2 linked regions of the Bombyx mori genome follow. The protein of the gene in region 1 purifies or fractionates together with the protein of each later gene. This does not show direct contact. Links are inferred from orthologs where the notes say so. Each region holds a gene or a part of one and is shown in the gene's direction. Other genes may lie near its edges.

Region 1 (3,693 bases):
CACTATTTTAACTAAATATTTTTAGAGACGCTACTAGGTTCTAATTCATACAAGACCTTTCTTTTTTTTTTATAATAACTGACCTAAAAAACACTACCTAGGTATATAAAGATATGGACTTAATTTTTACTCCTCATTAGGAGCAGATAAAAAATTCTGAAGTCAAGCCAAAAATCCAGACTTTTTGGCGGGAACGCGAGGAGTGAAGTTGTGTAATTTGTTTTATTTTGTCTATTTAGTGTTTCTTCAGGTTTAAATGTGTAATAACGGTAGTTTATTAACTGTTTAATATCTGTAAAAGTGCACAAATGTGGGAAAATGAAACAAAGCCGCTGGACGTAACTTCTCGGGATCCTCCAAAAAGTCCACTGAAAAAATCTCAGTAAATGACCACCACTTTGCTGAGATTATACTTCATCCCATATCATTTCATTTCGTTTTCATTTCACTTCATGCTGTTTCATAATAATCAACTTCATTTCATTTCATAATATCATTTTCATATAAAAAAAGTTACGTATCATTAAAATTAAAATAAGACTTGACCTAAAGGTCTTAGTTACCAGGTCATAAAATCCCTTAAAAAAATACGAGAATTCATAAAATATAGAACTAAATCTGTTCTCAACTGTAATGTTTCGTAAATATCCAATGAAAACTTCGACAAACAAAAGAATCACTTTAATATTGGTTACGGAGACGTCACTTAAAAACATTTTTGACACTAAATGTCAAAGAAAACCTACTGGAAATTACGACGCGAGCATGACGCGAGTCGAATGGTTACCGTCAATTAAATTATTGTTATGTTAAATTTTACAATGTTGTTTCGGAAATCAAGTGCCTAGATGTATTAAATAGTTTTTTTTACAAGTGTGTTAGTTTTGTGATAAATGCCTTCGAGATGTCTAAAAATAAGATAGCAGCTCGGATTGACAGTCAAACTGTCGAGGTGAAGACGAAGGTAAATTTAACGTTTCTCATTTTGTAACTCGTTTAGAATAAATAAATGGCATGTTTTGGGCAAATTTTACATTGTTCTTATCTTCACGTACGAAGGACTCAATTAGATTAACTGCATTACAAATAAATAAGTTTAGAAATCAAACTGCAAAACTGGGAAGATTAATATTAGTTTTTTTAAATGTATCTGAGGGGGTACAGTAAATAGAATATTACCATATTCATGCTGTTGATACAATATATTTTTAAAGTAAATATTGAGTTTAAATTATCATATACCTTGTTTGTTTACAATACAAACTACATTATTGAATGCAAAATGACAACTTCCATTTTTTTTTCATATCAAGAAGGTCCGTTGTTTCCTGTTGTTGTAATTCATAACTAAATCTATAAAATGCAAATGTGGTGCTTACCAGTTGCATACCTAAACACAACCTATATCAGATTCATCAATCTAATCAATGATTTTCTCTTGTGTCAAGAATATCATTATATTGTTCTGAGATGGCTCTTATTCAGAGGAAATTATAACAATATACCATTATTGTTGTTGCTTTTTGGTATAGTGTTTTCTCTTGATAACATTAGTAAGAAATTGCATTCATTAATTGCAAAAATTAGGACACCTATAAATAACTTTTAATGTTCGCAACAAGGTATAGGTCAGTTGAGTCAGTGTTTTAGTAATGGCTAAACTTGCTATATAAAATGACATCAAGGATTACATGGTATATTCACATTTACAAAAAAATTGGCCACATAAGTGTAAATATACACTATGTAGACTCTTATAAGTGTAAAATATTCTACTATTTACACATAACACTGATAGCATGAACAAATTCTCCATTAATACTTATCTATTTTATACACCTAAAACAAAAATCTTAATAAAATAAATTGAGACATGCATTTTTTTATTCCAAAAAGTGTTTTGTGTTTTAATAAAAATAAAGCGATTTAACCATGAACACAATAATTTTCTAAAACAAAGAGATCACATAAAAATCAATAATAAAACTTGAAATTTTATGACAAAATTAAAAAGTCGTAAATACTCTGTGACAATCCACAATATGTCCTGCACCAAAAACATCTATAATTTTTCTTAAAATTCATAATTTCTGTTTGTTCTACACATAGTATTGTGTATTAGTCATATATTTAGTGTCTTGGGTTTGTTTATGACTAATCTGCCTGGGTGCGTTTGAAATGTTACTTCGCCAAAAACTATTTAATTAAGTATTTTAGTAATTTTTTTGATATTCTGAGCAACGGACTTTATAAGACTATGAGATTATATAAACATTAGAATGTTTGAAAAATATCTCTAGTGTCTGGACAAAAAAAGATGGCAATCAATTTTTCAGTTTAAATTTTAAAAACCCAAGTTGTGTCCATTGATAATGAATCCTACAAAATGATATAATCCAGAGATACAAATCACTATAATATTATAAATTAAACTATTTTTTGTCACACTTTTTCTGATACCAATAAAGATAAGGCTGGATGTTCAGGATCTTCACAGTATGAAACGATACACGTATCCTCATTTTTATAGTATTAGTGCATTTTTCACTCAATCACGACTTTGGAGCGATTTTTATAAAGTCTCAAATATTTTTTCTAATTATTATTGTCAGATTAACTCAAATATATATAACACAGTTCTACAATTTGACAAATCAACTTATTTGTCCTGAGCATGGCCATGGGATATGTCCCCTTCAATGAAATGGGACATATAGGACTCAACTACATAAAAACCTCTTGACCCACTGTGTTCCTTAACACACTGAAAGGTGATGTTTCTCATAACTTTGTCAATGAAATAACTGTCATAACTGAAATGCTATTTGTCAACTGTGTTTTATATTATTTTGATTTTAGTAGATCTGATTATTGAAGACATACCTGATGTTCTTAGTCTAATCAGTTAGGTAGGCCTGTAAGGGTAGGTATTACCACCCTACTTATTTCCACAATAAAGAAGTTATGCATTCTAGTTATAGGGTGGGACATTCATTAAATAATACTGTGCAATTGAGACTTCATCTTTCAAAATAGCTTGCAGCATTGACATTGTCACGTCTATGGGTTTTCAAAGCTATTTTGCTTGTCTCCTCAATAATAATGAAAAAAACCATTGTAATTAAAGATTTAGTAATACTAAGACACAGCCCACTAAACTTCTTGCCGAATCATCTTAGTAGGTCGCGTTTCCGATCCGGTGGTAGATTCTACGAAGCACTGCTTTTGTTAGGGCTAGTGCTAGTAACGTCCCAGATTAGGGTTCTACAAGCTCACCTACTCGTTTGCTTCATCTAGTATGAGCAGTTCACTAGGTCACTAAAAATATGTACACTAGATACACTCTGAAGTTTCTGTGGAATAATTAAGTATTTTAAAAAATAACATTTTTCTCATTACAGTTCGATGCAGAGTTCCGTCGTTTCTCGCTGAATCGTACCGAGAAACTGAAATATGACGATTTCAAAGCGCTAATCGAGAAACTGCATCGGTTACACGACGTCGCCTTCCTGATATCATACACCGATCCTAGGGACGGCGATTTACTACCCATCAACAATGATGACAACTTTGCGAGAGCATTGCTGACAGCCAGACCACTGCTCAGGGTCATAATACAAAGGAAAGGTATGTTTTTATTTGATTCGTTTTTGGTTTAAACTTGGATGCAACCACTTCGATAAAGCGGCACGA
Region 2 (3,660 bases), on another chromosome or scaffold:
CAAGCCTACCGACAACCACAACTACGACGCCAACAAGAACGAGGCCTTCGATAGCCACGAAGCAAGAACCGGCCCCAAAAAACACGCTTCCATAGTCACCATAAACAACAACAGCAGCTGGGTCTCAAACCAATCCGATGACACTAAAGGGTATTTAGAGAGAGATAAGGATGTACCTCACGACGCCAAAAGGGATAGTTTCGAGTGGAGTCGGCTTGATGGATGGAACCCAGTGATCGATAGATTGACGGGACTAAGAAACGAGAGCTATTACATGGCAACCCAGGTCGATGTTCCGCAAATGAATGGACATCATTATAGACAGAATCTAGGACACGTACATATGTCTCGATCGCCGCCGGCTCATCACAACGTTATCATTGAAGAGGACTATGGTACGACGAGGTGAGTTATTCTAGATTTAATACAAATATTTTTATATTCTTTCAGTGTAAGTAATTCATTTCAATACCTACCTTATTAATATAGTCTACTACCATAGAAGTGTTTCATCCAAGTTCGTATTTATTAATAATATTTCTCTAGCTGCACTGTAAAATTATTCAAAACATCTTAGCTCGGTATATCTATTGACGACCATAACGTCATCACGTCAGTTCCATCGGAGCGATTATGAGTGTGTGGGCAAGCCACTATATGGATAACTTTTAGTCAAATTTAAATTTCTAAAGCTTTCAATAACTTTTGTTAATTTTAATTGTGTATTTTTTTTTAATTCATAGCGAGCTGCATTGATAGCGGTTACTCTGGCTATTAATTAGTGGTGTGCGATGTCGGCATCTTAGATCTTCCCAGAACAATACATTTCAAGTGGGATAGATTTTGCAAGTTTTTATTGAACTAATTGATGTTAAGAAAAAAAACCTATACAATAAAGTAACTGATGTTTCACTGCTATTTGAGCTGATAAATAATGATAGTATTTTTAAGTACAAGAAAATTTTTCTTCTGTATTATGTATGGTACACACAGACGTTAACTCATAATATATTTTTACGCTTCCTGACTCCAACAGGGAATCGAACCTGATGCCTGTAGTATCATTGTCAAGGTCGCTAACCATTAGACTAGGGGCTCCCAAACTTATTATATATTTTTTAGCGCCCCCATTTTCTCACCTACTTAAAAACCACTATAGCGAGAGCTCAGTCGGTGTCTAAGAGTCCTACTAGATGAAATTACAAATCGCCTCTACATAACACTCCAATTTTTTTTCTGGGTCTCTTAGCGTCCCCCTTTGGCCTGTAGCGCCCATATGGGGGCGTTATCGCACACTTTGGGAAAGGCTGCATTGGACCATCGGGGTGACCGAATCTAATTTAAAAAAAAAATTTGCGTTCTGCACTCCTTCCCTATATTCTCTATAAATGTGGGAAATTTCATACTCTTCCGTCCGCGCAATTTTCGTAAAAACGGGTACAAAGTTTTTGCTTCACGTATTAATATATGGATTATGAGTATGTATATTAGGAAATAAATAGCCTATGTTTAGTTAAGTTTGTGATTAGATAGTGCTTTAATTTATCTATATGTGTTGTGCGTGCAGGGGCAGCGGCGGCGGCGAGTCCGGCAGCGAGTGCGGAGCCGCGGCGGGCTTCAGTCGGGACGCCGTGGGGCGCCGCTCCATGTCCGAGAAGCGACACGCCGCCATGGACGCCAAGCAGACCGGCACCTACAAGAAGATCAAAGAAATCAAGGCCATCCATTGTGAGTTCAAACTATAACTACTATTCAATTTGCCCACTGAGTTTCTCGCCGGATCTTCTCAGTGGGTCGCGTTCCCTATCCGATGGTAGCTTCTGTGAAACACGACTTTGTTATAATTCTGACATTGCTGATGTACATGAGCAACGGCCTAAAATCACGGTCAAATGGGACGCAGGATTTTATTGCAGACATTGGTAAGCCAGCTTACGTCTCTGTCCGGTGTTAAATAAAAATAAATGAAATTAATATGAAAGGGAAATACATTAAATGAGATGAGAATAAATGAACTTATAATAAATGTTATATTTCTAAATTATCTTTACCATAATACGTGTAGTTTGATAACAAGATGATTATTTAAAACAGCAATGCAAGTTGGTCCCGCACTCGGTATGAGGAAGTCTTCCAGCTTGGAATCACTCCAGATAGCTATACAAGAAAACCAAAGGAATCCCAGAAATGAACCTATTTATGCGCGAGCGCACCCACGTAAGTATTAATTTTTTACTATACTAAAACAGCTTGGCGGGGAAGGGTGTGAGGAGAGACGGGCCCACGCTGCCCACGGACATCACCTCGACTACTCAGTTGAGTTCAGCTCGTCGATTACGACGAAGAGTTCGACAAGCGAACTAACCCATAGACACAGACAGCCCAATGAGTTTCTCGGTCGCGATTCCGATTCGGTGGTAGATTCCGCGAAGCACTGCTCTTGTTAGAGCTAGTGTTAGCTAATTCTCTCAAGTTGAGCCCGTGAGCTCACCTACCCGTCCGGGCGTAGGGGGAATAGCCTTTTAGGCTACCATCGAATAGGTAGGGAAAAAGTTGAGTTCTCTTAAAAGGGGCTCCGACGCGGTTTTTTGAACAGCAGAAATTTTTAATTATGAAACCTGTTATGTACGAAAACAGACAGACAAATTGAAAGTCTGCGTTTGAAGTTTTCTGGTATTTACGATTAAAAACGGACCTTAATTTCGTTTACTGTATACATAATAATAACAAAGCCTTTTATTCGGACAACAGATATACAATTAAGTTTCTTATACTACTGCACGTATTTGGTGCTTCTTTACTTTCTGTAAGTCCGTTTGCCAGTTGGCAAAGGCCTCCTCTAAAAAGCCTACTCCATTCTAATCTCTCTCTGGCTACTCTACTCCATGTTATGCCCGCAACCTGCCTGATATCATCGTCCAATCTTTTTTGTTGCCTGCCTCTTTTCCTCTTGCCTTCCCTTGGGTACCAATGTGTAGTTATTTTGTTCCATTTTTCTTTTCCTCTGACCAAGTGTCCCGGCCATCGTTAACGGACCTTAATTTCGTTTACTTTATACATAGGTCCATCCAACACGTCCGACTTTGATTAATCATAACAGTATTGTGAATGACCTTTCGTGCTTATAGTGAATTTGATTACAGCGTTAAAGCACTGGTTGACTGACGACAACGCCGGCCCGGATATCATCAGAGGATCGCCTCAACAATCTTCACTGTCGCACAAGAAACCGTCGCTACTCAAGTCCTTATCGACAATGTTCAGGTTTGTTTTATACTAAAGTAATCGTGAAAATCTAATTCACTACTTGAACTTCAGAGAAACTAAGAAATTAACATGGATTTTCGTGTAATGTGCAGCAGAGACTAATATTATTAAAGCTTTGCAAAATATAGAAAAAAATATACTTCACCTATTTAAATTACAACTGAGGATCGCTGTAACTTTTTGATGTATGTACACTTGAGCTTTTAAACCGTTTACAATTTGAGTAACTGAATTATTTATTCCAATACGCAGACCGTTTTCTCTAATTCAAAAAAGGGTTCAAATAAGGTAATAATACAATGGGCAACATGCGTTTAAAATTTAAACTAAATATATTATTGTATCGTTTCCATTGTATATCTTTTCATTTTCATGGACTAAAGATTTTTAATA

What was found. The genes of interacting proteins can lie anywhere in the genome.
Region 2: the proteins of partitioning defective protein 6 (region 1) and partitioning defective 3 homolog purify together in Drosophila melanogaster (affinity purification with western blotting; 7 studies listed by BioGRID). This does not show direct contact. The link is inferred for Bombyx mori from reciprocal best matches to the Drosophila melanogaster genes par-6 and baz.

What each region holds. Positions count from the first base shown.
Region 1 is NC_085126.1:2,330,810-2,334,502, forward strand, and holds the start of partitioning defective protein 6, read left to right. Parts: upstream 1-736; 5' UTR 737-904; coding exon 905-964; intron 965-3,401; coding exon 3,402-3,627; intron 3,628-3,693.
Region 2 is NC_085116.1:6,900,666-6,904,325, reverse strand, and holds part of partitioning defective 3 homolog, read left to right. Parts: coding exon 1-405; intron 406-1,445; exon of another isoform or gene 1,446-1,567; coding exon 1,568-1,728; intron 1,729-2,094; coding exon 2,095-2,217; intron 2,218-3,143; coding exon 3,144-3,264; intron 3,265-3,660.